4 linked regions of the Notamacropus eugenii genome follow. The protein of the gene in region 4 purifies or fractionates together with the protein of the main gene of each other region. This does not show direct contact. Links are inferred from orthologs where the notes say so. Each region holds a gene or a part of one and is shown on either strand. Other genes may lie near its edges. The genes, in order: SAP130, GATAD1, SUDS3 and SIN3B.

Region 1 (7,835 bases), on a different chromosome or scaffold from region 4:
CACTGCCTCAATGAAGCCCTACTACATTCTTCCCTACCCCTCCCAGCTGTAAGTGTTCTTTTTCTCTCTCCCCTCAAATTTCCTTTACAATACCCATTTGTGGATATGCTGTACCCCCACATCAGGGTGTAAGGTCCATGAGGGTATTGTTGTCTTCATATCCCTAGTACACATCTGAGGATGTGCCTGGTTCCTTTTGCTTTTTGAACTGACTTATGATTTTACTGGTATAGGGAAAATGTCAAATGTTAGCTCTATGGATACAGATTAGCATCTCTTCTCTGACTTTTAGAGTGTTGTCTGGGGCACTGAGAAGTTAAATTGTCCATGGTCACATAGCCTGCAAGTGTCAAAGGTAGGACTTGAACCCACTACCCCAAAGCCTGCTCTTTATCTATTATACCATTATGTTTTCCATCTGGCATATAGTAATCTTTTCATAAATGCTTACAGAATTGCATTTTAGTTGGAGCTTATAAATTTTAGTTGTTTCAATCAATTATAAATAACATGATAATGAAGATGATGACAGCAATCTATAGTGCTTTTGCAAAATGCTTTAAATATTATCTCATTTGATCCTCCAAATGACCCTGAGAGCTATTAAGATTATTCCCATTTTACAAATGAGGAAAGTGAGGCACATAAAGGTCAAGTGGTTTGCCCAAAGTCACATACCTAGTGTCTGAGACTAGATTCAAAACTCAGGCCTTCCTGGCTGCACTCCATCACCTAGTTGTAGAATCTGCCTAATTTTCTGCCTAATTCTGAACACTAAAACTGGCAAGCTTATTAAGGCAAATAAGAGAACACTTAAAAACGCCTTACCTGTAGCTGTTGGGTTTATCAGCCCTGTAGATGCACTGTTGGAAATTTGTGAGGGAGCTTGGCCTAGCCCTGCAGAAGGGGCTCCTGAACGAGGAAACTGTTGAGAACTCATTTCTACCTGCAAAATACAGTCACACTGTTACAATTTGATCTGGAGATGCAGGATGTTACACATATCTACAGTTGGTACCACTGAGTTTAAACCTTAAAATGACATTACCTTAATTGTTAGAATAACTAAATAACTTATCTCAACTAGACAAAACATCAGCTGAAAAACTAAATAATTTTCAAATGGGAAATGCTACCTGAATTTCTATAACCAAGTAGAAAAAAGCTAACAAATTACTCTAGTCCATTTATGTCTATGGTTGTTCAGTTGTTCTGACTCTTCATAACCCCATTTGGGGTTTTCTTGGCAAAGATACTGGAGTGGTTTGCCATTTCCTTCTCCAGCTCATTTTACAGATGAGGGAATTTAGGCAAAAAGGGTTAAGTTACTTGCCCAAGGTGTTACAGAAACTACTAAGTGTCTGATGGTGGATTTGAACTCAGGTCCCCCTGATTCCAAGTCTGGTGCTCTATCCACTGAACCACCTAGCTGCCCATAGCTAAGTTTATGTCTTATCTTTAATCAAATCACTGTAATATTTTTCTCATCATAAAGGGATCTACAGGACCTATCTACTCTGGGGCATGTTTGCAAAAACACTTTATTTTAAAATTCTCCGGGAAGTATTCAGAAATATATCCTTGATAGATATGAAGATAATTAAGTAGTTTTCGGGTTTTTCAAGCCTGAAAAAATTCTTCCAGCATATTTGGATGCCTGCCATTTCAGAAATTCAGCCATTTACTCATGCCAAAAAAGAAATTTTTTTTAATGTCAAAACTAAAATTTTAACATTTTTACTATTACTTCTTACTTTTCCCAATAATTACAATGCAGAATCACAGATCTCAGTGTTGGAAAGGAACTCAGAGCTTGTCTAGTCCAACCTCAACTTAAATAAGAATCCCTTCCACAACATACTCAACAAATGGTCATCCAATCTTTTCTTGAAAACCTCCAGAGAGGGAACCCACTTCCTCCTGAGGTAACCCTTCCACTTTTTCATATAGCTTTTATTTTTCTTCCTTAAATCAAATTTAAATCTGCTTCTTTGAAATTTCTATTCACTATTCCCACCTCTGACTTCTAGAAAAACAAAAGAAGTCTATTCCCTTTTCTATAGGCCAGCATTTCAAATACTTGACACTACAATAATCATGTCCTCCATAAGTCTTCTCTTCTCCAGGAAAAACATCTTCAGTTCCAAAGATGTGCATATGGTAGGATGTTGAGTGTTTCATCAAATAATCTTGTTGCCTTCCTCTAGATGATTTCTAGTTAAAAATGTTCTTCCTGAAAGTGGTGTCAAGAACTGACAATGGCAATTCTCTATGATGAGGCCTGATATGGGTACAATACTCTCACCCCACAGTCTTAGATACCATATCTCTAATAATGCAGCCCAAAATTGCCCTTTTTTGATATCCATACTAGGTTATCATCTCATGTTGAGCTTGCAGTCAACTAAGTCTCTCCCCCAAGACCACTTTCCGATGAACTAGCCTAGTTCTATCTCCCTCATCTTGTACTAGCAACATTTATTTTTTGACCTGAGCGACCTTAGCCCGCCAAGATATTTTGGATTCATCCTTGCAGTCAGTGGATAAGCCACTGCTCCCAGTTTTATGTCATCTATACTTTTAGCTAACTCTTTTAAATCACCTTTAAGGTTTTTAGGTAAGAATTATACTAGCCAACATACAAGACTTTCTGGCATATTTTAGCTTAACACAGGAATTTCTGCAAATAGGCTTTATAGCCAAAAAATTCAGCGAATAATAAAACCTGCTTGGGAAAGACACAATAGAGTCTTCATTAATTGTGATTGTGTGTGTGTGTGTGTGTGTGTGTGTGTGTGTGTGTGTGTGTGTAACAATCAACAAGTAGGTATTCTTGAAACTTTATGGAGTACTCACAGGGCACATGGCACCTCACTAAATGCTAATCAATTAAGAACTCTGCCTTGTCTTTAAAGATTTTTACAAGTTTGCAAATAACAAGAACAAAAGCAAATCATTTAAGGCTTTGCGAGAAAAAATTTTAAATCATACTTTGTATTTTAACTCCATCCAAAGATGTTATTTCAAGCCATTAAAAAAAGGTACTTCCTTTGAACAATCAGAGAAAATTAAAAGGCAGAGTCATTCAGGATTCACTCAGCTGGGAGAAATGGGAATAAAATCTAGGCTTCCCAACAAGAAATATATTACTCTGTTAATTATATCCTACCTAAAATACAACTCTTAACCACCCCATGATCTTATTTCATGTATTTCGATTTGCACTAAGGTACCATAACTAGGTGGGGGATTTTTCTACATTAAAGGAAAGTATATATAGGAAGCACACTTTGGTAATGCACACATCATAGTCAAAGAAATGTGTGTTTTTGAGAAAACCAGCCTTTAGCAATTTCTAACTTGACAGTAAAGAGATTTTATATCTCCATGTCACTGAAAGGTTCCGTGGTGCAGAGAGATATAGAGTCACAGACATCTCACAGCAAGATTTGACCAAAAGGAGATCAGTCAATGGCTCTGTTTGCAAGACCTAGATTTAAAGATTTCCTTTTCCCTTCCCCTCACATTTATTCTAATAGACTCCTCTAAAATCTGTTTCCAAGCACGTTTTAACTCTAAATGCTCAGGTGCTTCCTTCCCCACCCAAACCAATGAATGGATCGGATGACAGGGCTGTCCCGCCTCCTCTCTCTGGGGTGCTCCAGCCTGGCTCTTCCAGCGAGGGAAGAACAGGTTCAGGTCTTCCCAAGATAACTAGCTCCTGTACCCTGCCGCCTGTCTGCCGTCTGCCGTCTGCCGTCTGCCCCAGAAGCTTCTTTCTAGCTCCTGCCCACTCTTTTTTCCATCAGATCCCAGTCCGGGAAGCGGACTCACAAAGGAACCAGGGAGGGAAGCAGGAGGGCCCCTTCCCCATAGCCAATACAGTCTTTCGGTCCCCGTGACACCGGCTCCGGCCCAGCAAACACCCCAGTTACTAGAGCAGTTTCAGTATTTGGTTCCAGCTTTCTCCCCAAGAACCTGCCCCTCCCCTTCCCACCGCCCGCCTATTGGCCCGGCGCCGAAGGCGTCACACGGGCTCGGGCTCCAATCCAGCATCAACCTCGGCGCCCTAGCCCCACCCTCCCATCGAACCTCGACTAATCAAGCTAGGGGCTCTGGCAGGGCTACCCAAATTTCACGACCCCGCGACCAATAGAAGAGGAGAGATGGCTCGTCCAATGAGAAGGGGCGGGGGGGCGGGGAGGGAGGCCCCGCCTTTGCCTGGGTCTGAAAGCGGCGGGCGCAGGTCCCGGATGTAGATAGTCACTTTAAACTGCTCTGTGAGCCAAACTGCCTCCGCCACCGCCCCCCGCCCGGCCAATCTCCCTGTCTTCTACCCATCAAAGCCAGACCCAGAGCCAGTCGGCCCAAGGCCCAGACCCCGCCTCTTTGCCGCGGGGCACCCCAAGCCGGGGGCAGAGGCTCCTCGCAGCTTCAACTGCCGGGACTAACCGCCCTATCCCAGGCTACTGACAGGACCCCACAACTTCCTAAGCGGTGCGATACCTGGCGAAGGACCAAGCCGACTACGCTTCGTCGGGGCCACCTTTCCCAGGGGACCCTCGGCAGAGCGGACGCCGCAACCCTGGCCCGGCCCGGCTGCCCCGCCCCCTCCCCGGATCCCCTCCTCCCGCCACTACCTGGACTCCGAAGCGCGGAGCCGCCGCTCCTCCGTTCTGCCTTCTCCGTGTTGTTCTCTGCCTTTCCTAGCGGCGCCTCTCAGGCGTCTTAGTCCCCGGGGCTCTGGACCCGCCGCGGCGGCCGCGGCTAGCTCTCCTCTCAACCTAGCACCGCCGCTTCCGCCGCCGCACCGAGACGCCCGCCCATTGGTTGGGGCTGGCACCGCCCACCTCGAGTTGAGCCACTGAGAGCGTGGCGTTAGCCAGAAGGTGGGATCGTCAGGGGAGGGATGTCCCAGCCCGGGGTGATAGGGCATTCTGGGTCTTGTAGTTTTTCCTGACAAGGGGGCGTGACTGGGAGGGTACGAGTGGGCGAAAGGGCGGGCACAGCCGCCAGTCCTGCGTCACGCCCCCCTTTGCAGTCTTCCATTGGCTCTAATCGAGCCGCTTTTCACTTCATGCTACCCTCTCCTCCCCCTACCCAACTGAGAAAAGGCGACCGGATCTAGCGCTGGAGCTCCGCCTTCTCCTCCAGGCCCCCGAACCGCGGGCCCTGGATTTGTCACTTGCATGGCGGGCCACGTAAGGGGGAGTGGGGAAGATGGGACTCCAAACGAGCCCCATTCCACGCTTTCCTTTAAAGGGCAGATGGGGAGGTGGGGCTTGGGGTTCGTTTTTAATGTATCCTCTTCATCTCCCGGGATCCGTTGCACGTGGCGGGTGCCTGTCAGCGGGGATGGCCACCCCGGCCCCGCAGCGCTGGCGGCAGAGGCGAAGGATGTCCCGCTGCTCTCGCCTGCATCTCGAGAAAACCCGTTCCCAAGGCGTTTTATCCCTCCTGACCCAGAGCCGGTGTCCTCCACGTTATGGAAGTTCAGTAAAGTTTTCTGCAAGGGGTGGGGTGGGACCGAGAGCCCTGGACGCCTCAGCAGTTCAACACCTCAAGCATCGGCTCCCCGAGGACCGAGGTGGTTAATAACGATAAGGACAGTAGCCTTCATGCAGCGCACTGAGGTCTGCAGAATGCTTGCTAGATACTGACCTCGTTTTATCTTGACCACAGCAGCCCTGGGAAGGCAGGTGCGCTATCAAGTGAGGCAGACGGAGGTTACGTGATTGGCCCAGGATCACACAGCTATTCAGTGTCTGAGGTCACGTACGGACTCAGGGCTGCCTGACCCCAACACCACTTCTCCATCTACTGCACGATAGCGCCTAGTTTGTGTCAAGCACTGTGCTAAGAGCTTTAAAAAAAAATTTTTTTTTTAATATGATCGCCTTTGATTAGGGCAGAATGTGCTCCTAGCTCAGCAGGGTTGTATCCTTGCCGTACCTTCTTGGTAAATATCTCTTTGTAGAAGGTAATTGACATGACAGGCAATTTCAACAGGAACGATGTTGGATTGCAGGGTTTGAAGGGTTTGAGCCAACTGCATTAGAAGGAACCTCTGCCTGAAGGAGAGATGTAATCGGCCGTGTTTTGGGGACCAGTCTGCTAATGGTGATTGAGAAAGTAAATCCAGGATCTTGTCTGCATCAGTGTGCCTAGGATTATAGACTTTTAGATCCAGGAGGGACTTCCAGATGATTTAGTCTTATTTGTTTTATAGACATGGAAAGTAAGGCCTAGAGAAGTTTGGTTACAATTTGGTTACGATCCCATAGCTATGGGCAGAGTCAAGGAGATTCAAAGTCTTGTACCCTTTCTACAACACCAGGCTGTTTCCCTTTGTCTAGGTAGAAACACAGAGAAATAGTGTGGAGCAATTTTAAAGCAATACAGTTATTTCCAATTTTAATAGCTTCTTTCAACACTATCTTTTCAACATTTTACCTGTCACTGTATAAGGAAGGCTAACTTTGACTTTCTGTTTTTACTTTAACTCACTTTTCACTATTCTGTGTCTGTTCATAGTTCTGCTTCCTACTTCTGCACTGATCTAACCCAGTGCTTCTCAAAGTGTGATTTGGGGACCCCAGGAGTCCCTGAGACCCTTTCAGGGGGTTCTCAAGGTTAAAACTTTTCATAATGCTGTGACATTTTAATTTCTAAAAATGCAAAGTGAAATAGAACCAAGAAAACAATATATACAAAGACAGTGCAAGAATCTATTGAAAAAGAATGCTGTGAAATTACACTGTCTGAGCTCAGCTCCAAAAAATATTTGGGAAGGTACTTTTTTTGCAATGGTGAATGATTATAGGTGTGGAATACTACAGATGTCAGACATGTTTTTGCTTTTGCTAAACGTTTTTTATTTTTGCCTTCATTTTTCTTTTTAATAAGAGATGGCAGTTTAGAAGGCAGAGGGAAATAAATTGGGAAATGTAGGTTACATAAACAGAAAAAAAAGATATAAACAAAACATTTTTAAAAGAAAATTTATTCTTTTGACCTATTCCTTGATGCTTGATTTTGCCACATTTAGGTTTGAAAAGCCTACTTTTGTCTAATTAAAGTTGTACTTCCTACTTATACAAGGTGCTTAATAGTTTGTGTTGAAATGAATAGGTGACTCTAGAACCACATTTGTAATAAGTATTAATTAAACTGGAGAAGATGTGGGAAAATTGGAACACTAATACATTGTTGGTGGTGGAGTTGTAAATTGATCCAGCCATTCTGGAGAGTAATTTGGAACTATGCCCAAAGGGCTATAAAACTATCCATACCCTTTGATCCAGCAATAAAGTCTGTATTCCAAAGAGATCATAAAAAAGGAGAAAGGACCCATATGTGCAAAAATATTTATAGCAACTCTTTTTATGATGGCCAAGAACTGAAAATTGAGGGGGTGCACATCAATTGGAGAATGACTGAACAAATTCTGGTATATGAATATAAAGGAATACTATTGTTCCATAAGAAATGATGAGCAGGCAGATTTCAGAAAATCCTGGAAAGACTTACATGAACTGATGCTGAGTGAAAGGAGCAGAACCAGGAGAATACTGTACACAGTAACAGCAACATTGTGGGATGACCACCTTTGATAGCCTTACCTCTTCTCAGCAATGCAACGATCTAACGCAGTCGCAAAAGATTCATAATAGAAAATGCCATATCCACATCCAGAGAAAGAACTATGGAGTCAGAATGCAGTTTGAAGCATACTGTTTTTTTTTTCTCTCAGTTTTTCCTTATTGTTCTGATTCAACTATCATAATATGACTAATATGGAGATATGTTTAATATGATTTTACAGGTATAGCCCA
Region 2 (7,655 bases), on a different chromosome or scaffold from region 4:
GCTGGGTCAGAAAGGGCTCCCCAGTGGCAGTGGGAATTATTCTAAACCCTCTGACACCAACCCACCCCAGGGCTGGGCCTTTTACCTCTCAAGTAGCAAGGAAGGTGCTATCCCTCCCACATAAGAGAAACCCATCCAGGGTATATAAAATAGGAGTCACTTGGATCATACTTTCTTTCCAAATCAAGCCCCAAGTGAGGATCCCCTAGGAGATTCACATTTGTGTCAACAAGGACTGGATTAGCATTTATTGTACCTGAAGCACACAGAAGATGGTCACAGGATCACAGATTTAAAGCTCCAAAAAACCCTAGAGACTATCTAGTCCAAGGGTGGGGAACCTATGTCCTCGAGGCCACATGTGGCCCTCCAGATTCTCAAGTATAGCTGCTTGAATCCAAACTTCACAGAATAATAAAAGGATGTGCTCTGTAAAACTTGGACTCAGTCAAAAGTCCATACCCAAAAACCCAGAAAGTCACACGTGGCCTTGAAGATGAAGGTTCTTCACCCCTGTTTTTAGTCCAATCTATTTTTACAGATGAGGAAACGGAGTTTAGAAGGGACTGATTACATAGCTAATGGGGCTATCCAACACTCCACAGTAGGCTTTTTGCTATCAATGGCTTATAAAGATAAGAATATAAGGATATTAGATTCTGAAGACCCAGGACCACTGGACTAAATTGTTCCATGCTGCAGAGTGTTTCAAGTCTTTAAGAGGAAAATTTTGATCCACTTTATGTGACAACTGAAACAACTTTAAAATGTTTTTTTCCCCCAACTTCTTTCTCAGTTTTCTCCTTCTGTGTTACATTAAAGGGCACTGTTATCCTAGAAATTAGTTCTGGGGTATTCTATGGGAAAATATGGGGTGTAGCTTATCTTATAGCAGAGTTGTTGCTAAGAGAATGAACAGGAAAAGACTTCATCCCTATAGTTTAGGAGTGGACCAGCTAGGTGGGATGACTGGTGAGGTCATGAAAGCCGAGGCCAGTGGATTAACTGAACTTGAGAGTTCAGAGCTACAGAGGGGCTAAAGCTGATTAACTGGCCCAGATCTGGGGGGAAAAAACAACAGAATAGGTTAAAGCTTCTGTGACAATCAGTATTGAGCCTGAGTCCATAAGTGGCCCCTGCCCTTCCAGCCTAGATGAGACTGGTAGATTCACTCCTAAAATAAAAAAGTAAATGAAAAAGATTGAATTCACACTCAAATGCCCTCTGACTCATTTGGCAACTAGACAGCTGAAAGGAAGTAATCCCTCCTTAAAGTTCATGTTTAAAGAGAGTGTTAGGACTGGTAAATCATTTACAAGCATCAGCTCATTATCTCAACAGGTGCTGCTATTATTTCCACTTTTACAGATATGAAAACTGAAACGCAGCCACGTTAAAGTAACTTACCTAGGTCTTACCTTACCTTATCTTTATAGCTAGTAAGTAAGTAAGCAAGATTGGATTTTGTTAGAATATAAATTCCAAGAGACTAGGGGTTGCCTCCTTCTTGGCATAATGCCTAAAGGGCCCCAGGTAGGTGCTTAATAAATACTTATTGATTCCAACCTAGTTGTTTGAGTGCTCTAACCACTTAGCCACACTACTACCTGTCTAATTAAGAAAATGTTTGCTGTGAGGTTCAGTAGACACATATCGCACGAGTACAAACACTTTTGGCTTTTGGAAAGACAAGGAAGGCTCCCAAAGAGGAAGGAAATAGCAAGATATCATCTTTCTCTCTCCTCTTCCTTCCCTCTGAATTCTTTCCCGTCTCCCAAATTCCTCTTCCCATAACTGAGCAAACAAGTAAGATAACATAAAGCAGTTCACTGCCACCGCCACCAAGGACACTAAAGACCCTTAACTCTAAGGTCAAGTCACTTGCATTGTAGAAAACAACCAAAGCAAACATACAGTTTTGACAGTGGTTTCCTCCCGTTCCATTGCCATAACTGATCTGAGACAGCGATCTTAGCATCTGATTGCTTTTCCTTTCCTACAGAAGATAACTATTTATCAAAACAGTCAAACAGAATTATATAAGAAAGCAGAATACAGTTTTAAATACAGAAATGTTGTATTAGGTTTTAGTTGTTTTTCAGTCATATCTGACTCTGTGACTGTATTTGGGGTTTTCTAAGCAAAGATACTGGAGTGGTCTGCTTCCATCTCCAGCTCATCTGACACATAAGAAACAGGCAAACAGGGACAAGTGACTTGCCCGGGGTCACACAGCTACTAAGTGTCTGAGGCCAGATTTGGACTCAGGTCCTCCTGACTCCAGACCCAGTGTTCTATCTACTCTACCATGTAGTTACCCCTTGTCTATTAAATTTTGAGTTGGTCCAATGTTTTAGCCTGCCAAGATCTTTTTGTCTAGTGTGGTATCCTTCCTACTTTGTGTCATCTGGAAGTTTGACACATATGCTATGGTTATGGATGAGAAGCCAAGAATCCAACATAAATCCCTCCAACATAAATCCCTGGGGCACTCTACTGGAGACCTCTTTCTAAGAGACATCAAACCAGTCAGGAGTACTATTAGGATAGAGCCATTCAACTGGTTCCAATGTGTATACTATCATCTAGCTCACATCTTGCCATGTGGTCCACAAGAAAATCATGAAAGTCTTTATCAAATGCTTTTCTACAATCTAGATAAACTACACCTACAGCATTCTTCTGATCTATCAGTCTCAGGTTAGTCTGTAATGACATATTCTTGATGAAATCATGAACAGAAAGACTTTTTATGGAGGGGAATTAGAGGACAATCCACCGGTCCTGGCACAGCAGGTATTTGGGATGACAGGTCACTTATATTGTGATCAACAATTCTTGGAACAAGTACAACAAGTCTACGGATCAATAAATAAACATTTGTTAAGTATCTCCTATATGCCAGACACCTTGCTAAACACTAGAGATACAAAACGAGGCAAAAGACAGACAGTCCCTGCCTTCAAGAAACTTATAATCTTGGTCTACGTCAAGAATTCTTAATCTTTGCGTTTTATTGACCCCCTTTGGCTGTCTGGACCCCTCCTCAGAACAATATTTTAAAATGCATAAAATAAAATACATGTCATTACAAAAGAAATCAATCATACTACCATATAGCTATCATAAATTAAAAAAAAAAAAGTACAAGAGCCCCAAGTTAAGAATCCCTGGTCTAGAACAACTACCAGCCTTCCCCCTCCTCTCTGATATCCTTCACCTGCCTATCTCCCATTTCCCAATCCAGGAAAACTCAGAAGTAACTGAGTCTAGCAATCATAAAGTGAGGTGAGGATGGCTGAATAGCACCCTGAAAATAGTCTTTACTCACCCACACGTGGAAAAGGGAAGTTAAGGGCAAGAAGAAAAGGAGTCATCAAAACATCCCTCCTGTCCACCTCTATGTGAAAGCTCTGTGCTAAATTCTTGTTAAGGACAGTTGGGGTGCAACTGGTGATCCATTCAGAGTTGTGATTCCTACGATGCAGTGGCAGTTGTAAAATGCACCTACACAAAATTTGTACAGAAGTATAGGTGAGTATCTGCTGAGTGCTCTAGTGCCCCTTTCCGGGCTTCAGTTTCTTCATCTAATACATGTATCTTATTCAACTTCGCTGAATGCAGTAAGAGAATGCTTTTATTCTCAGGGGATTCCCTTCTCCCTTCTCCAGTCTCCCACACCTAAACCTCCCCCACCTTTCTCAGCTGAGCAAACAGAGGCCACTCCACATGTCCTCTTCCTGGCCATGTGATGGAAGGATCTCCAGAACCCGACAATGAGGTGGCCCTCGTCCTTACCAAGACCAGCTTCTCTCTGTGTGCGCTGACCCCACTCTTTCCCCATTCTCCAGCAGGCTACAACCTCAACTGTGCCCTTCCCCCACCTTCCAGCTCTCCCTAGCTCCTCTCCTATTACCTTCAGCACACCCAAGCCTCTCCCATGCTTACAAAAAATGTCATTCGACCTCCCCCTGGCCGGGGCTTGGTGCTCGCTGCCTCTCTCCTTTCTGGGCCGGACTTCGGGAGAAAAGCAACCTCCGGAATCCCTGGTAATCATCCAGGTTACCAGGTAAGATCCGGACAGCTCAGCCCGCTGGGCTCTTCTCAGGCCTCCTCCCCCTTGTGAGTCACCGTTCTCTCCCGGTCATCCAGCGGCACCCCCTAAACGCGGTAAGTCTTGGGGATCTCCTCGGCTCACCTCCATGCCCACAACAACCAGCTGCACGTTGGGCATTCAGCCTGCGTGTCCCAAAGACCTGTCACACTCAACATGCTCACGAAGGACCCCGTCATCTCCCCCCACCCCGCTTCTATCTCACACCCACTGCTGGCCTCTCAGCGGGGCACCGCCGCGGACCCCGCCACCCGACACCCCAGGGACTCGCCGCAGCCCCAGCCACCAGGGAAGCCCTTCCTTCCTTTCCAGGGCAGCCCCACCTGCCTCCTTCCGGACCGCTGCCCTTGGGCCGACCCCCTGCGGTCCACCCCTCTCCTCACCTACCCTTCGGGACACACCTTGCGCACCCCCGTCTCCACGGAGACTTGGCCGGGCCCTCCTCTCTAGCTCCCACGTGTCTACCTGCGCAGTGTTTATCCTGGAAACACGTGTGTCCTGGAGATTGCTTTGTTTCATTTCTATCCCCGGCACGGATCCTAGCGCCCCGTATACAGCAGGTGTGTAATAAATGCTCCTCGCGGCCCGGCTTGCGTGGTAGAGGTCACTGGCGTGGAAAAGGGTAACTATCACCTGGAGCGGCCCTCCTTCACCCGCGGCTGGAAGGAGCCGTCCAGGCCACCGGGTCCGCCCAGGACCGACCGGGACCAGGCTTTCACAGACCAGGAATCTTGGGCCTGCGGAGGGAAAGCGGTCCCGGGTCGCAGAGATGACAGCGGGCAGGGCGGGCAGGGCCGGGATTGTAACCCGGGTCTTTCGGCTTGGAATCCCGCGCTCCTTGCCCCTCCCCCCCGCCCCTCAGGGTCTCGGTGACCGGTGGGTGGCTGCCCGAAGGGGGCGGAACAGGCAGGGAGGGAGGCGCAGCCGAGCGAGTCCTCCGACCTGCAGGGGGCGCCCGCCCGCCGCCGCAGCCCCGGAACGCCAGGCCTCCCGGGCACCTCCGCTCCTTCCCCGCTTCCTCCCGGCCGGCCGAGGCGACCACGGCGACGGGCGCGTCGGCCCCACGGTCGCGATTCCCGTGTCGCTGAGGCCCCGGGGGCCGCCCGCGCCGTCGGCCGCCATGCCGCTGGGCCTAAAGCCCACGTGCAGCGTGTGCCGGACCACGTCGTCGTCCATGTGGAAGAAGGGCGCGCAGGGCGAGATTCTCTGCAACCACTGCACGGGCCGCGGGGGGGCCGCCGGGGGCGCGGGCGCGGGCGCGGCGGGCGGGGCCGCGGGCCTAGCGGGCGGCGGGGGCGCGTCCGGCGCGGGGACGGGCACGGCGGGCGGCGGGGGCGCGCCCGGCGGCGGCGGCGGGCACGGCGGGCCGGGCTCGGGCTTCCCCGGCCCCTCGGCCGCGGCCTCGCAGCAGAGCAATGGCGGCGGCGGGGGCGGCAAGCAGGTGAGCGGCGGGGCGGGGCCGGGGGCGGGGCGAGGCCCTGGGGGCGGGGCCGGGGAGGTCGGCTCGAGGCGCGGCCCCGCGCCAGGGCCCTCCGCCCCCGCCGGCTAACGGTGGCCGCTCGCGCCGGCTCCTTGATGTGTCCGCGGCAGAGCAAGCAGGAGATTCACCGGCGCTCGGCGCGCCTCCGCAACACCAAGTACAAGTCGGCCCCGGCGGCCGAGAAGAAGGTGTCCACCAAGGGCAAGGGCCGCAGGCACATCTTCAAGCTGAAGAACGTGAGTCGGGTGGCCCTGCCTGGGGCGGGCCGGGGAGGGAGGAGGAAGGGGGGAGGGGCGGAGGGGAAAGAATCCCCCCCCCTCCTCCCCCCTCCCCCGCGCGTGCCTCGCGTTCTGACGTGTGTAGGTGTACGCGTGTCCGTGTATGCACACATATGCGCATGCGTGTGTGACTGATGCATCTGTGTATGCAGGTAGTGTGCATACATGTACAAGCACGTGTCTGTGTGCACATGTGGTTCTGGTGTGCATGTGCGCTGTGCGCTTACATATATGTGATAACATCTGGCATAGAGTATCTCTATATTCTTTACGACGTAAGCTTTACGCCTAGGCGTAATACGTGCCAGGCCCGATGACCTCATTTGATCCCCGACAACCCTGGCAGGCCGGTGCCCCGCACCCGGCTCGTAGGCCTGGGGCTGCCGCAGAGGAGCCCCCCGTAGCCACCCTCTCACCAGGGGGTTTCTGCAGACATGAGATGTTTGCCTAGTGCACCCCCACACGGATTCCTGAGGTCCAATTGAGGAGCTGTTCTGCTAAGGATGTTAGTAACGAGAGACCACAGAAGCCACAGGCTGCTCCTGGTTCTTGTTGGTGCAACATGCAGGGAGTATAAAGTTATGAAAACTGCCTGGTTTCCCTGAGTTAAGGTTGAGGAAGCTCCATCTTTTCCTTGACGGCAACTGAATTTTGCTAGGAGTTGCAGGATGTCGTGGAAAAGCATTTTACTTGGCTGTTGTCCTTTTATAAGTCATCTTCTACGTGCAGTGTCAATGAACAGTGTCTTTTTCCTTTAAAAAAAATTTACTTATGAAGAACTTGTTTGAACAAATAACAGAATAATCCCCCGATACGACCATGTAGGGCAGCTGGGAGGCAGCAGAGTACAGAATGTGCTGGGCCCAGAGTCAGGAAGAACTGAGTTCAGATGTGACTGACATTCAGTAGCTGTTGGGCAAGTCTCTTAACTTGTCTGCCCCAGTGTCCTCAAATGGGGGTAATGAAAAGCACTTCACCCCCAAGGTTGTTGTGAGGATCAAGCGAGGTCATATTTGTAAAGTACTTAGCACACAGAAAGTGCAGAATAGTTGTAGATCTGCATTTGTAGGACGGGAGAGCTTCCTTCTGTACCTTATAGCTCTTCCAAAATCCCAGCTACTCAAACTCTTGTACTAGTTTCTGTGGCTTAAAAAATGTCCCTAGCATCTCTCTTTAAAAAGTGATGATTTTGCTTTTTTTTTTTTTTAGCCCATTAAAGCTCCTGAAGCAGTTTCTACCATCATTACTGCAGAATCAATATTTCACAAGGTAAACATGAATTCTTTCTCTATGAAGGCTTCAGTCTTTTGTTTAAGGTGCTATTTAAGACTGCTTTTTATCAAGATGTGCACAGTTAGCTGTTTGAAGCTGAAATGATCTTTTTTTCTTTTATAAAATATCTCTGTGATAAAATGTTCCCTCCACTAAAAAGGTGATTCTGAGTTTAGGGGACCCTTCCCCAGGCCTAGTGTTAAGGGGGAACAGGATAGAAGTTTTCTGAGAAGATTCAGATATGGGGACACATTTTTAAATTCTAGGAGACAGATGTGGGTGTTGACTAAAAATGAAAGTGTATATTTCGAGACTGTAGAGCAGATATAATAAGGAAGTATGATGGCAGGTAGGCAGGAGAAACAAAGGAAGTGTCAGTTCAGAGGTGCACAGGGCTGTCCTCCAATGTTAGGGTGCTGCATCATCCACAAAAGCAGACAGTGACCAGACCACAAGAGAGTTTCCATTTTTACTGGAACAAATGGTATCCTATTTCAGAAAGGTAAAAGTG
Region 3 (7,915 bases), about 33 Mb from region 4:
CTCTTCTATCTCCTCTCCTCTACACGTATTTTCCTTGCACCCTGGTCACCAGAGCTCCCCAGGGTGGCATTTCATAGCATCAGTCATTGTCAAGTTGTGAGTTTTGAACCTGTGTCATCAACCACATAGTTAGGGAGGAATGATGGGAAAGGAACACTGTTACTAGTAAGTGACCTTTGGCAAAATTGTATTTAATTTCCAAATAAACAATGTTACTGTAACAATATACAAGTTTTCCAGTTATGTTGTAACCAATTTTTTTCTTCCAGAGTTGTTTGTATTCGAAAGTGCTCTCCCCAACTTCCCATTTCTTTTCTCCTTTCCCCTCCTTTTTGCTCCCTTTCTTTTCTTCCCCCACCTCCAGAGTCTTCTCCCTTCCTTTTGAGAAAGTTCTCCTTTTCACAACTTTGGGAGTCCTGTCTGTCTGCTTATAAAGCACACCTAATACCTAGACAAAGGGACGGACAGATCAGCTTTACACGAATGAAAGGTCAATCCAGAATGCAGCATAATATAGTTTGACTCCACACAGGAATATGATTCTTTCTGTCTCTAGGCATGATGCTCTATCCATTGAGCCACCTAGCTCCTTCCCATCCCCCCTTTTTTTTGGTTACTGGTAAAAATCATCTGGGAAATATTCCTTCCTAGCCTTTTGCCCCCCTCCCCCTGCTTTGCCCTCTGCTAAGCTGAAGGAGGGAGGATTGGGTTGTTAATAAAGCCCTGATATTTATTTACCTCCTACTTGCCTTGTATTGAATGCCTGATATTCAAAACAGTAGATAGGAAGTATAGACTTTTGCTTTTCTTTTTCTGATTCTGTACTGGGTGGGGCCATGGAACATAGAATGCCTGTCACTACCCTTCTTTATAGGTCAAAGAATAACTGTCTCTCCTCATCCTCAAGTTGTAACACTGCAGCATATCTTGGACTCATCTGGAAACACTCTACTTTTAATCAATTTTGGCATAAATTCCAATCTATGTACTAGCCTTGACAAGTATGCATTTATGACAGTCTTTACCATTAATCGGATTTGCCCGTTGCAGTCTGAATGGTGAGAGTGTTTGTTTTGCATTTGGGGTTGTTTCTTTGGTTTTTGATGCCCGTGCTTTTCAAATTTGGGATTTAGAAAACAACGTATAGGCATGTAAAACATTCTTTAATTACTTTTAAACCTTATTCTCTTCCTCTTTAAATCAACATTTGTATTTGGGGATATGGAAGTGTCCTAGGTAGATACTGATGGTACCAAAAGTTTCATTGAAATGAATTTCTTAGGAGAGGGCAGGTAACCTGACCTAGCAGAGTATTTGAACACTGTTTTGGGTTGAGGATAGGAAGAAGAGGAATTTCAGTGATTTCTTGAGATATTACATCAAGAAGATAGTGTGGAGGATGGATTTGGGGAAATTCCTCTTTGGGGAGAGCGGGTGAGTTGTTTATGACAAAATGAAAGCAGATGATGAGGAATTTAGGTGCAAATAGAACACACATACACAATCTTTTCCTGAAGTCTGTAGTCAAATTTGGAATCTTGAGTTTAAAAATAGAGAAGTGGGGTAGTGAGCCCTGAGATTGACACTGGTTCAGTAACATTGTTAGAATTTGAGAAATTCCTGGAAAAACATTGTAAAATTAGAATATAATTTAAGATTCACCCCATTCTGGACAAGATTATATTTGAGTATCTTTTCTGGGCAGACAAATGCTTGGTAATACTATCAGAAAAGACTGGGGTTTACATTGGAATAAGGCATGAAACTGCAATCTGAAAACAAACAGAGGAAAAGTTTGGCACAATGAAAGGCCAAGTTAGGCTGAATCAGGGGTGGGGAGCTCTAATTCTGGAGGCCTTCTAGGTCCTTGGGTACTGCCTTTTGACTGAGTGCAAGTTGTACCAAACAAATCCCTTTGGGATCACTGTGAGATTTGGGTTCAGTCAAAGGGCTGCACTTGAGGGCCTAGGGGACCACATGTGGCCTCAGGGCCGAAGATTCCCCACCCCTGGTCTGGATAGAGTCAAGGTTGGGAATTCAGAATCCTTGGGTTCCACCCCTGCCTTTGCTATTACTTTGTTTCATTTTCCCCTCTCCATAAAGTAAAAAAAAAAAATTATTTATTTATTTATTTTTTTTACTAAATTTGGTGCAAACATCTGTGGAGATATGTTCATGGTAAATTGTGTGTCATTTTGTTCTAGCTTTGCCTTGACCTTGGGCTAAACCACTTAGCTCTTCTCAAGGCAGCAGTTTCTTTATCTGTCCTATGAAAGGTTTGGTCTGGAATTATCTGAGCCCCCTTCCGGGCCCCTTAATAAAAGAATCAGCAAATATTTGCTTCATCCAGCTCTGCAATAGGTCATAAGTAACATAAGCAATCAGGATGAATTCATGTGCAAATTTAAATTTTTAGGTAAACCCTCCTTTCTAAGGAAAATGCCCACATTAGTTTGTTCTAACAAGTGTAACAAGATCTCATAGGTAACCCTGATTGGCTGTATGGTTAACAGGGCAGTAGATGGGGGCGAAACTTTTTTTTTGTTTATTGTTCAGTCCTGTCTTACTCTCAGTGACCCCATTTGAGGTTTTATAGGCAAAGATACTGTAGTGGTTTGCCATTTCCTTCTCCAGTTTATTTTACAGATGAGGAAAGTGAGGTAAACAGGGTGAAGTGACTTGCTCAGAGTCACTCAGCTAGTAAGTGCCTGTGGTCACATTTGAACTCAGGAAGATGATTCTTTCTGTCTCTAGGCATGGTGCTCTATCCACTGAGCCACCTAGCTCCTCCCCATCCTCTCTTTTTTGGTTACTGGTAAAAATCATCTGGAAAACATTCCTTCCTAGCCTTTTGCCCCGCCCCTCCACCTTTGCCCTCTGTTAAGCTGAAAATATTTGAATTGAGTTGTTTAATAAAGCCGTGATATTTATTTACCTCTTACTTGTCCTGTATTGAATGCCTGATATTCAAAGCAGTAGATCAGAAGTACAGACTTTTGATTTTCTTTTTCTGATTCTACACTGGGTGGGGCCATAGAAGATAGAATGCCAGAGCTGGGAGGGCCCAGGAGGACCCAGGCCTGCTGTGCTTTGAAGTGAGAGTCTAAGGACTTGGGAGGGAACCCAGGTTCTGCCGGTTACCGTCTCTGGACAAGTCAGTCAAGTCAAGAAGCATTTTATTAGGCTCCTCTTATGTGCTTGGCATTGTGCTAAGTGCTGGGGATACAGAGAAACCCTTCCACACCCAAAAAAGGCCCTGCTCTGAAGGAGTTCACAATGTCCTGGGCTTTCAGTTTTCTTCTTCAAAAGAGGGGCTTGAAATAGATGTAAAATGGAGACAATAAGTCTGGGAATATCTGCCTCCCCAGGTTCTTGTGGGGCTGCCATGAGATAAAGTCAGTCAAATACATTGTAAACTCTAATGTGGCACATAAATATCAGTTATTCTTTCCCTAAGAACCTGCCTCAGCCTTTTAGAACCTCTCGGGTGCTGTGTTCTCAAATGACAGCTCTTTCAAGAGGCCTTTCCTGCTTGGACACCTTCCTCTTCCCATTAATAATCATAATGATAATTACACCAATAATAATAGATAGCATTTATATAGTGGTTACTATCTGGCAGGCACTTAGCTAAGCACTTTACAATTATAGGGGGGCGGGGTGGGAAAGGAGAGGCTATTGTTATCCCCATTTTACAGAAGAGGAAACTGAGTCAGATAGTGATTTGCCCAGGGTCATTCAGCTAGTGTTTGAGGTTATATTTGAACTCAGGTCTTCCGGACTCCCCACCTGGTGCTCTATCCACTGCGCCCAGTAACGTGGTATTTGTTCTTTGTGAAGTTCGTTCATCGTCTGTCACTACTTACATCCTCCGTTTTCTATTTACTTTGCTATGAACTTGACTTCCCTCAGAATGTCAGTTTCTTGAGGACAGGGACTGTTTCCTTTGTGTCCTTGTCTTCCCCGGCACCTGGCACACAGAAGGAGTTTAATACTTGCCCGATCAGTTATTAGCCTAAAGGTCCCTTCCAGCTCTCCATAGACATCCAGACCTGGAAGGGATCTTAGACCCGCATGGGTCTAATCTGGTTTTCTTAACCTGGATTCCTCGGGACTCCCCAGCTCCATTCTAATCTTCAAGGACAGCCTTTATGTAAACGCTAGGAAGTCTGCAAAAAGCAGCTAAGCGCCTGTCGTTGGCACCTCTGCCGCAGCCTCCGGAGAAGGCAGCTACGGGAATCAGCGTGCCCATTCTACAGATGGGCACAGAGGGGTCTGGCCACCCCCGAACCCCCCAGGAATCCGAGACTCTCCTGGGCTGGCGTCCCGGGTTACCTTTCCTCCCAGCCCCATCCTCTGGCTTCCCGCCCGTAAGCGTTTGAACTTGGAGACCCGGGGCGGGGGCGGTGATCTTGACCCGGACTCGCAGCCCGGGCTCCGGCGCCGCCTCGTGGCCACTGGGGGAGGAGCGTCCTGGAGCTCCAAGGAGAGAGAGGCGGGGAGGGGCGGGGAGCGGAGGAGGAGCGGGTCCTGACCGCTCCGCGAGGCACCGCTCGCTTCGCCTGCTCATGCATAATCATGATTCCCACCCCTGGGGCTGCTAGAGCCGTCTGCACGGACCCGGCTGAGGTGGGAGCGAGAAGCGTCATGAACTCAGGTGAGGAGCTGGGGGTCTTCGCTTTTCTAGGCTGGGCGGGGCGGGGCAGGGAGCGGGCGGGATCAGGCGCGCGCCGGGCAGCCCGTGACCCGGAAGCAGCCGCGCGAGGGCCCCGTTGCCGAGCGCGAGCGCCGGGGGCGGGGCTTGGAAGCGGCGGCGGAGGCTGCTGAGGAGGAGGCGGCTCAGGAGGAGGCGGCTGAGGAGAAGGAGGAGGAGGAGGAGGAGGAGGAGGCGGCGGCGGCGGCGGCGGCGGCTGCTGAGGCGGCCGAGGCGGCCGCTCCCTGGGCTCCCTTCGCGTCCCTGAGTCCGAGGCCGACACCTCCCGCGGCCCCAGGCCCGGGCGGCGGCGCCATGAGCGCGGCCGGGCTGCTGGCCCCGGCCCCGGCCGGAGCGCCACCCGCCCCGGAGTACTACCCGGAGGAGGAGGAGGAGCTGGAGAGCGCCGAGGACGACGAGCGGAGCTGCCGCGGCCGCGAGTCCGACGAAGGTGCCGCCCGCCGGGCCGGGGGAGGGGAGCGAGCGAGAGAGAGCTGGGCGTCCAGCCTCGGCGCCTTTGCCCAAGTCGGGCCCCACGCCTGCAGTGCGCTCTCCTCGCCTCGGGCTGGGTCCAGACGTTCTCAGAGTGGTCTGGGGATGGGAGGGGGGCAGCCTTGTCAAAACTTTTTATTTCTGTTGTGGTAAATATCGATAGACTCCACTCGAGCCACAACTCTTTTGGGGGGAGGGAGTCCCTCAAATTTTAATCCTGGGACCGAAAAGTTGGAGAATCGTCGAATGAAAACTAGAGCCGTGAAGGAACCTCGGAGACCATGTCGAACCAGTTACCTTTGTTTGCAGCAGGGGAAACTGAGACCCATCCTTTCCTTAGAGCTTTTTAGAATCTCTAGATTTTACCTACTTAATTCTAAAGCTACTAATTGTGTCGTCAACAAGCATTTATTAAACACTCGCTGTTTGCTCGGCTGGCTCTTGGGCCAAGCCTCAGGAATCCTAATAAAAGCAAAACAAACACTCTGCCCGCTGGGAGCTTCCATTCTAATGGGGGAGACACCATATAAGGGGGGCTGGAAAGGGGTAGGTGTAAGCCCCCGGGGGGGGAAGTCCTTTCCTGGGCCCTTCCCCCTGCCTGCTGCTGGTGTCTCTTTTCAAATTACTTTGTATTTACTCTGGTATTTTCTATCCCCGACAAATTAGGCCCCTCCCCACAGTATTTACTTTGTATAGTTGCTTTGTAACATTGTTTCCCTCTGTAGAATCCTGTGCTCCGTAGTCATTTCTTAAAGCACTTACTGTGTGCTACGTTCTGGCGTGACAGGGAATGTGTTAAGAAGAATATAAGCTTCTTGAGCACAAAGGCTCTAATGTCATTTCCGTAAAAATAATTTTAGAAACCACAGGAAACGTTTAAATATGAAAAATAAACAAAAGCTAGATGGCCCAGTAGATAAAATGCTGGGCCTAGAGTAGAGCTGAATTCAAATTTGGCCTAAGACATTTCTTAGCTTGTGATCCTGGGCAAGTCACTTCACTTAGATTGCCTCAGTTTCTTCATCTGTAAAATGAGCTGTAGAAGGAAATTGCAGACCACTCCAGGATCTCTGTCAAGAGAACCCCAAATGGGGTCATGACAGACAAGACTGAAAATGACTGAACAAAATCAAACGATGAGTATGATAGTAGTATCTACCTCCCAGGGTTGTTGTGAGGACCAAAGGAGATAATATTTGTGAAGCTCCTCCATCCTAGCTATTATTATTGTTATTATTTGCTGTGTGGTGAAGACACCAATATCCAGCCTCTTGCTGTGTGACCAGAGAGGGGGGAAGACGTAGGGAGGATCTGGATTCTAGTGATGGCTTTCCCTGGGCACTTAACCTCACTGTGCCTTAAGGCACCTCTCTTAAGACTAAGTTGTAGGAACAATCTTGAGTGTGTTTTGTGTGGGCCAGTTCTGGGTTCCCCTGCCCTCTAGGAGCCCACATTTCAAGGGGCTGAGGCAGGAGACCCGCTGCAGTTGTGTATTTGTTTCCATTGATGAAGGAGATATCACTCACAGGAGTACTCTGTGGTGATTGTTTCCACAGCCCAAAAACATCCCTAGAACCTTGCCTGGTGGAAGATGTATAATAAATACTTAGTGAATAAGTAAATGACTTTTAATACTTTGCAGAGCTTTCACCTGGAAGTCAGATTAGATTTCTTCTGCTAGGTGGCACAGTTGAGAGAGCAGGGGTGGAGAACTTTCTATTTCAAGGCCACATGTGGTCCTCTAGGCCCTCAAGTGTGACCTTTTGAACTGATTCCAAACTTCTTGTTCTGTGAAGTTTGGATTCAGTCAAAGGGCTGCACTTGAGGACCTAGAGGGCCATGTATGTCTTTGAAGCTGCAGGTTCCCCACCTTTGAGAGCATAAGACTTAAAGTCAAGACCTGAGTTTGAATTCTTTTTCTCGCACTCAGTGGGTATGTGATCTTGGGCAGATCACTCAGCCTCTGCCTGTCTCACCGTCCTCTTTTGTAAGATTTGGATAATAACAATGCGTCCCTTGAAGTATTATTATGTGACTCAAAGTAAAGTGCTCTGCAAATCTTAAAGATTTGCTGTTTTATTTTAAACCTTAGCTTTAAAGGACTATATCCAAAGTACCTGTCATTGGCCCTGCAGTGGGTAAAAGCTGCAAAGAGGCAAATTTGGCTTTTACCTAAGAACTTCCTAAGGACTTCTTCATGAGTAGAATGACTTCTATTCTAGCTTCCAGCATCTGAAACACTGGCAGTCTTCTGGCTTTGGTGTCTCTGTTGGTTATGATGTAGAGAGAATTTTCATTTGTATTTGGTACTCTCTGAGGGTTATTCTAATTCTGAGATTCCTGGATTTAGAACCTGGGGGTAGGAAGTTTAGCTATTTTAGGATTATGGAGATTAGAGCTGGAATACTATAATAGCTAGCATTTAGTGAACTCAGAGATTAACAACCCAGTTCCCTCATTTTACAGATGAGGAAACTGAAGCCCAGGTTGTGACTTGCCTAAGGTCACACAGCTAGGAAATGACAAAACTGGAAATTGAGTGAGAATCCTTTTTGATTTCAAATTCAGTATGGCTTAGTATCAGTATGACATACATGTATTATACTTTTCCTTGCCAGTTTTTGGACCATCTCTGTCTCTTCTCTAACCTCTATTATTGCTGGATGGCTGAGCATTTCTGTTAATTAGCATTCAGAGACACTTGCTATTGTTCCCTAGACTTAAAGCTAA
Region 4 (7,945 bases):
GAATAGGATTCAGGGAACTACAAAATTAGTAATCTTAATTGTGAATGTAAATGGGATGAACTCACCCATAAAGTGGAAGAGGTTAGCAGAATGGATTAGAAACCAGAATCTAAGAATATGTTGTTTATGAGAAACACGTTTGAAAGAGAAAGATATACACAGAATGAAAATAAGGAGCCAGAGCAGAAGCTTTTATGCTTCAGCTGAAGTAAAAATGGCAGGGGTAGCAATCATGATCTCAGGAATGCACTTAAAAGGAAAAAAGAATAAATACAGAGGCCAAGGACTGAGACCCTATCATAGGGCCAAAAAACCTTAGAGGGGAGAATGCCTTACTCACCTTTCTCTTTACTGATTGTCTCTTACTGTGAGCAGAGTCTCAAATTAGACATAGGAAGTTGCTGAAGCTCAGAGGCTTCTCTGAATGTCTTCATAGCCAACCAAAGAGTCTCCTCCTCAACACATGGCTAGTTAATCAGAACCAATTAATTAATCAATAAACATTTAGAGTTACAGTTACAGAATATAAATGCATCTTCTACAGTTTCTCCAAAGCAATTCCATTTCATGTCTTCTGGAAGCAAGTTTCTTAACCTTCTGTAGGTGAAGAGACAGCATCTAAGGCATTCTGTGCATGTGCTAGACCACCATTACACAAGGAAGACTGTAATTAAGGTCTTTAATTCAAGGGAGACTTGGGGTTTCTGATTGCAATATCATTGTATTATTTTTCAATTTCTGTAACACAGCTGAAGACTTAGTGCTTTATTCTTACAGACACCAAACATCTCTGTAGTTGCAACTATCAAGGAGTCTCATATAATTCCTTTCTCTCCACTCACACTTTCCCAATACTAGTTCAGGACTTCATCACCACTCAGGTAGACTACTGCAACAGTCTCTTACCTTTTTAATTCATGTTCCACAGGGATAACAAGGAGATCTTCTTAAACACGGGTATGATTGTACATGTCTCTCTTCTCTATAAGCTTTAGTATCTCCCTATTGTCTCTAGGATTAAATACATACTCATTTGCTAAGCATTTAAATTCATTCACAGTCTAGCTCCAACCTCTATTTCCATAATGATTATGCATCATTCCCCCCTCACATATTCCACCTGCTTGCTGGAACTATGTCCAATATTCAGTCTCCTGCGTCTATACCTTGGCTCAGACTGTTCTGGGGTCAAGTGCTTTCTTTCCTCACCTGTTTCTTGGAATCCATAATTATTTTCAGGACTTGGCTCCATCAAGAGGTATAGGAGAACTTTCCTGAATCCCCCAGTTAGTGCTTTCCTTGCTCCCCCAAATTATTTTGTATATATGGAGGGTTTGCTTCTTTCCATAGGAGCACTTGCTTTAACAATGACATTATAAGTGGAAGTGGGAACTGAAGAGTTACTTTAGGATGCTCTATCAGGTAAGGCATGAGTTGGTGCTCCTTACCTCTGTTTAGATAGTCCTGCCATGGAGGACACTGTAGTTCTGTGTCCTAAATCTCTTTTAGCACTTCTGTGAATGCATAAATGAAGCTTGTCTTTTCTGGAAAGGCTAGTTTCTGAGTGCCACTACACAAAAACAGATGGAAACTGACAGGGCCCATTTGCTTCAAGCCTTTCATTTTAATACTTAAACTTGAGTCCATCATCAAGAGTTCTGTCAACTTGGATGGGGAAAAAAGTACATCTTTATTTTCACTAACATTTCATTTCTATATAATCCTATGTTATTTTATTTTCTGAATTTAAAAGCATGATTTTAAGAAGGGGTCACAAGCTTCACTAGCCTGTCAAAGGGGTGATGACAAAAAGAGTTAAGACATTGTTTTTGGGCTTCACTCCAGGTTCTGTCTAATCTGTTATTAAGATATGAAAATTTCCATCAATAATTCAACATTTATTTGGCTTGTTTTGTCCCCATTCTCAAAGGAATTTAATGTTCCTTCTAAACCCCAAATTACTTTTTAGGACTTTTTAATGGTTTAGGGAACTTTCAGTGAGGAAATTCCCTCTACTAATTCAGCTTACCCAATCAGCTTTAATTTGAAGTCTTAAAGAGAGTTGGCTAGGGTCCTGAGAAGTTAAGTGACTTGCCAGGGTCGAGGGCCCAAAAGGTCTCACTCACTCAAATATCAGACCACATTTTACTGAATGAAATCAAGTAGAAGGAACAGCAACAGAAATCCTGAATTTTTGACAGGTAGTAACTTCTGGTGAGGTCTAAAATTTTAACTTTCCAGGAGCTTTACTATGTGAAAAAAGAAACAACATAAACTTTGAGAATTCCTAATAGAGGGGCATCTTAGTAATGGCTCAGCTCTCAACTTTCATTTTCAGTATGGTTGGGTATTTCCCAGGCAAACCTGAGTACCTTCCTAGCAAAGCATCCTGGTATTAAAAAAATACTTTTTAGTGAAAACATTTTCTTCAGTAACATAGCAAGAACAGCAGCTACAAGGTATTTCCCCTGCATACCTGAGGTACACTCTCCCACAAATGACACAGAGACCATATGAGGAAGGGAGACCACAAACATAATAAAATGGTAATGAGGCACATGTTTGGGGAACACACAGGACCAAGGAAACTCACAACTCTAGAATGGCAGGGCCTCAAATAGCCTTTCTTTCTCTGGACAATCCACACAGGCGGGCAAGCTAGGCAAAGCTGGCAACAAATACTTCACAAAGAGCTTGGAGAAGATGGTTGGGTGCCATCATATATCTATTTTTGATTGTGTTTTTGGCATCCCTACTATGCAAACTGCCAAGTCCTCATTATCAGAATGCCTTTGGGCCATTTTTGACTTGTGGATGCAGAAGAGTCAGAATCCCCAGAAATAAGCCAAGAGTTTCAGAGACATACATACACACACGGAGCATCATCCTTTTTGAGGATTTCCGTTGAAGCTTTGCACAATTCTCCCATTTATAACCGTCTTTCCACTCCAACTTTTTTATTTTTGACACTTAATAGAAATTAAAGGGGAAAATACTGAATCCTTATGATTTGCAAAGTGATACAGCAGGTAGGTGTTACACACATATGTATTTGTGTGTATGTATAAATCGGGGCAGCTAGGTGGCATAATATGTAAAGTGCTGGGCATGAAGTCAAGAAGACGAGTTCAAATTTAGCCTCAAACACTTACTAGCTGTGTAACCCTGGCAAGTCACTTGTTTGCCTCAGTTTTCTCATTTGTAAAATCAACTGGAGAAGGAAATGGCAAACCACTCCAGTACTTTCGCCAAGAAAACTCCAAATGGGTCACGAAGATTTGGACATGACTGAACATTTATCTGTGTACCTGCTTTTCCTCCAAGCAGAATATAAACCCCTTGAGGAACATGCCTATTTTATTTCTCTTTCTGTATCTCCAGTCTCTGGCTAAGTAGATGACCCATTTAAAAGATTTCGGACCAGTCCTGCAATTTTAGTGGTATAGGACTGCCTAAGAAGCAACTAGCCTACCCATGCTGGCAGACACTTGCTCTACATCTCATGATCACAGAGCAGGGGTTTCACACATACCCAGGATAAGCTCAGGGAGTTCCTAAGTTCATCCCATGAACTTGGATGGAGACTTCTAAGTAAAATGTAGCATTTCCTTCAATTACTTAAAAATATTATTCTGGAAAGGGGTCCATAGACTTCCCCAGATTGCCAAAAGACAGGGGTAAGTGAAAAATGGGTGGCACTGGCAGAGAGAGGTTCTAAGTGACTCGCCACAGCCGGTAAGGTTCAGAGGCATGACTTGAATCCTGGTCCGCCTAACTGGAAGATATTTCTGCATGCTCTGTGCCAAGCTGAATGGCACACAGTAGGCACTTCACAAGATTCAGACGGCTAGCATCTATACAGCGCCTGCTTTACATGGGGACAACCCTGGGAGGCACGTTATCCCCACTTTACGGGGGAGGAAATTGAAGATAAGCGCCTTGGAGGGGTCCCACAGCTGGTAAGTGTTTGCGGCCCAAACGGACCACGCCAGGCCGGGCCGGGCCGGGCCGGGCCGTCTACACGCGGAGCTGCCAGAGGCGTGGGGGTGGGGAGGCTCGCCCAACAGGGGGTCACGGTTGAGCTGCTTCTCCCTCTTCTGTGTCGCTCGTGTAAGTGACCGCTAATAGAAAGGAACAATTACGGGCTGCCCGGATGAACCACGCCGTCACCGAACCCGAGGTGCAGATCGGAAGCCCGCTGAAGGCGGCGACAGCCCCCCACCGAGCGGGCACAGCCGCCCCCAACGCCCAAGTCTGGCCCAGCAGGTCGGGCCGGGCGGGCTCGGGGGCCGGCTCCGAGGTGTGGCTGGGGGGGGGGGGGGGCTCTGTCCTGATGGCCTGCCCCTCCCGGGGGCCGTCACGAGGAGGGGGCACCACGAGCTCAGCCCAGGGCTTCCGCCGAAGTCCAGTCAATGCCCACGAAGGACAGGGCGCGCGAGGGGCCTGCCTGGGCCGAGGGAGAAGCTCGAACCTCGCCTCGTGGCAGGCAGGGCGGCCCTCCCGCCTCACACCCACCACCCGCATTCCGCCCGCTGGGCCCCGCCCATGGGCGGGCCCAACGCGCTGACGTCGCGCACGCGCACTGACGTGCCCGGGGCGGGGTCGCTCCTGTGCCCAGTTCCAATATGGCGAGCGGCGGCGGCGGCGGCGGCGGTGCCGGGCCCGGGGCCGGAGCCGGGGGCCGAGGGATGAGCGGCGCCCGTTGGGGCCGCGCGGGGCCCACCGCGCAGGAGAAGCTGCCTGTGCACGTGAGTGCGCGCCATCCTTCCCTCCTGACCCGCCCGCATCCCATAGCAACCGTCGCCTCCCCTCCCCCCCGGCGCTCGTGCCCCGTGGCCCCCTCTCCTCACCGCCCCTGCGCCTGGACGGGCCGCACGCGCCCCCCCCTCCGGGCCTGCGCCGCCCCGCCCCCCTCCCCCTGCACGTCCCCATTCGGGGGTCCCCTTCTGTCGCCAGTATTCCCTTACCCCTTCAAGGCCCCCCTTCTCGTCTTTCCTCCCTCCCCCCTAGTGCCCCCTTCCCGTCTTCCTCCGTAGCCCCTCCCCAACGCCCTCTCTGCAGAGCCCCGCCCCAGTGCCCCCACTCTCCTCTTTCCCCCTGCACACCCTCTCCCCAGTGCCCGTTCTGTCATCCGCACAGCCCCTCCCCTGCGCTCCCATTTTCCCTTTCCCTCCATTCCTTGCTCAGTCGCCAGCATCCTTGTCCTCTCCTCCCCCAGTGCCACAGGGTCCCCATTAGCAGAGCCCCAGTACCTCCTCTCCACTCTTGGCCTCCTTTTCCAAAATTGCACCCTCCTGTCTCTGTCTCTGTCTGTCTATCTGTCTCTGTCTGTCTGTCTGTATGTCCCTGTGTCTCTGTCTCTGTCTCTCTCTGTCTCTGTCTCTCTGTCTCTCTCTCTCTCTCTCTCTCTCTCTCTCTCTCTCTCTCTCTCTCTCTCTCGATGGGCTCCTGCTTTTGGCACAGCAGCCATCCTGGCAGTGCCTCACTTCTCCCACCTGGGGTCGGTTGTCCCTTTCGTTTCATTGCTACCTCCCTCCCCAGTCTGAGCTGCCCTTCTCTCCCAAAGTTGAGGTCCGTTTTCCTCTCACAACCTCATTCCATCCTTCAGATCCCATCCGCCAGCTGTTATCTCCCAGAGTTCTACTGGCTTCATGTATTAAGGTTCTAACCTAACTGTCTTTCCCCTTGTTCCAAGCCCAGTTCTTCACCCCACGACCCATCCCTTCCTCAAAGTCTAGCCTCTCCTCCAACACCTAGCTACCCTTAACCTCAAAGACCAGGCCCAGGTTTTTTCCCACTCACTTCCCCATCCCCTTTTCCTCACCTTTCTGTGGTTCCTGTCTCCACCCTCCCCCTTGGTTTTCAATTTTTCCCATTCACTCTTGGAGGCCAAGATGCCTTGCTCCTTCCATAACCTTACTGTGTATCTGCAGGTAGAGGATGCCCTCTCCTATCTGGATCAGGTGAAGATCCGATTTGGGAGTGACCCTGCCACCTACAATGGCTTCCTGGAGATCATGAAAGAGTTCAAGAGCCAAAGGTAATAATGCTGGAGTCCTTATGTAAGACCCTGGCCCCTCACTCACTGTGGAGGAGTACAGAATGTAGAGCTGGAGGGGACTCAGGAACATTGAGTCTCAGTTCAGGTTCTTCGTTTTAAAGATCAGGAAATTGAGACTGGTTAAATCTATTGCCCAAGTTCACACAGGTAGAGAGGCATCCTGGGGTAGTGGATAAAGTACTGAACTTGGGAGTCAAGAAGACCTGAGTTCAAATCAAGCCTGAAATACATGCCAACTGTGCATTCTTGGCCAGGTCATTGAAATATCTCCCAGCTTTAGTTTACTTCTTTGTAAAATGAGGCTGTTGAAGTCTGTCCAGCCTACCTCACTGTATAAAAAGGTGCTATGTGAGTAACATTTGGGATCTGAAACCAGCTTCTGTGCTAAGAGCTAGAGCTAAAAAAAAAGAAGCAAAATCAGTCCTTGCTTTCAGGGAGCTTACATTCTAATGGGAAAGACAACATGTACATATATGCCTTTCTGCAAGATACATATGAAGTACACACTCAGTAACCTTAGAAGGGAAGACCTGAAGGAGGTGGGCAGCCAGAGCTGGTCTTGAAGGAAGCCAGGAATTCTAAAGGGAGGAGGTGAAAAAGAAAACCATTCTAGACATGGAGTATTATGTAGTAGTAATAGCTAGCCTCAGCATTTGCAAAGTGTTAGTCATGTTATCTCATTTGATCCTCACAACGCTTTGGAGTAGGTGCTCTTATTCTCATTTTACAGATGAGAAAAGTGAGGCAGAAAGAGGTTAATTGACTTGGTAGGGTCACAAAGCTAATAAACGGCTGATTTTGAACACTCTTCCCCACTGCACCCCTTAGCTGCCTGTATGAGAAGAATAGCCAAGAGTCCTGTTGGATTTGACCTTAGAGTCCCTGGAAGGTAATAATCTGTTAGAAGGATGAAAAGATAGGAAGGGTCCAGATTGCGAGGAGGTTTAAATGGCAAACAGGAGTTTATATTTGGTCTTTCAAGTAATGGGCAGTTGTTGGACTTTGGGTTGGTGACCTGGTCACACATGCAATTTAGGAAAACATTTTGTGGGCTGTGGGTCAGAGTTGGAGAAGCCCGGAGGCCAGCAGGAACGCAGGCCAGTTAGCCTGGGGCAGGGTTGCAAAGGGAAGAGTTGTGGAAAAATGAGGAGGCGGGACTTTGATGGCCTCCAGAGCCGCTTCTAGTTCATCTTCTGTGTTTTAGAGGATGTTGACAAACCTCTTGGTATTTTTTAGCCTGGTCTCTAACCTTCTGCCGAGTTAGTTTGAGGAGCACTGTGCTAGCCAAGCACTGTACTAGGCCCTTAGAGTCCACATGCAAAAAGTGAGTTGTTGCCCATGAGCTTTACAAGGGAGGGGAGTTTTGTTGTCAGAAATCTCTGGGACTGTGAACAGAGCCTTTGGGCAGTTGCTTATCATGCCCTTTCCAGAAGCCAAGGTAACATTGATTTGGTGACTGTTTCTAGAGCAGAAGTTTTGTGAAGCATAGTTTGGTATGAGTTAGATGAGTTTGCACTCACCAGTGGGAAGGAAAGGGTAGGGCTCTGGGGTCTGGTCTAGAGGTGTGTTATAGGTGAGGAGGGGGCAGTCAGTGACTCTTTCTGTTCTTTATTGCCACCTTAACCATCCAGTTTGTGAAAAAGTTACGTTCCAGAGTTGGAGGTATTCCCCTATTCAGGGCTCCTTATTGGTAAAATATCAGCACTTTGGGGTGGGGGGGGTTTAAAGAGAATACAGTTCAAATTAGCCAACATTTTAAGCACTTAATTTTTTTCAAGCACTGTGCTGGGCACCTGTGACACAAGACAAAACAGAAACAATCTGTATCTACAAGCATTGTACCGTTTCTGTAGTTCTTCAAGACTTATGTTTTTCTTTTCTCAT

The links.
Region 1: the proteins of SIN3B (region 4) and SAP130 purify together in Homo sapiens (affinity purification with mass spectrometry; 3 studies listed by BioGRID and IntAct, with this or other methods). This does not show direct contact. The link is inferred for Notamacropus eugenii from reciprocal best matches to the Homo sapiens genes SIN3B and SAP130.
Region 2: the proteins of SIN3B (region 4) and GATAD1 purify together in Homo sapiens (affinity purification with mass spectrometry; 5 studies listed by BioGRID and IntAct, with this or other methods). This does not show direct contact. The link is inferred for Notamacropus eugenii from reciprocal best matches to the Homo sapiens genes SIN3B and GATAD1.
Region 3: the proteins of SIN3B (region 4) and SUDS3 purify together in Homo sapiens (affinity purification with mass spectrometry; 3 studies listed by BioGRID and IntAct, counting the BioPlex papers as one, with this or other methods). This does not show direct contact. The link is inferred for Notamacropus eugenii from reciprocal best matches to the Homo sapiens genes SIN3B and SUDS3.

Annotation. Positions count from the first base shown.
Region 1 is NC_092876.1:320,134,659-320,142,493, forward strand, and holds the start of SAP130 (histone deacetylase complex subunit SAP130), read right to left. Parts: upstream 3,015-7,835; 5' UTR 3,010-3,014; coding exon 2,992-3,009; intron 947-2,991; coding exon 829-946; intron 1-828. UniProt on the Homo sapiens protein: Acts as a transcriptional repressor. May function in the assembly and/or enzymatic activity of the mSin3A corepressor complex or in mediating interactions between the complex and other regulatory complexes.
Region 2 is NC_092874.1:47,953,857-47,961,511, reverse strand, and holds the start of GATAD1 (GATA zinc finger domain-containing protein 1), read left to right. Parts: upstream 1-4,654; 5' UTR 4,655-4,883; coding exon 4,884-5,555; intron 5,556-5,704; coding exon 5,705-5,830; intron 5,831-7,081; coding exon 7,082-7,141; intron 7,142-7,655. UniProt on the Homo sapiens protein: Component of some chromatin complex recruited to chromatin sites methylated 'Lys-4' of histone H3 (H3K4me), with a preference for trimethylated form (H3K4me3).
Region 3 is NC_092875.1:27,137,296-27,145,210, reverse strand, and holds the start of SUDS3 (sin3 histone deacetylase corepressor complex component SDS3), read left to right. Parts: upstream 1-4,913; 5' UTR 4,914-5,008; coding exon 5,009-5,144; intron 5,145-7,915.
Region 4 is NC_092875.1:60,073,446-60,081,390, forward strand, and holds the start of SIN3B (paired amphipathic helix protein Sin3b), read left to right. Parts: upstream 1-4,939; 5' UTR 4,940-5,340; coding exon 5,341-5,661; intron 5,662-5,933; coding exon 5,934-6,040; intron 6,041-7,945.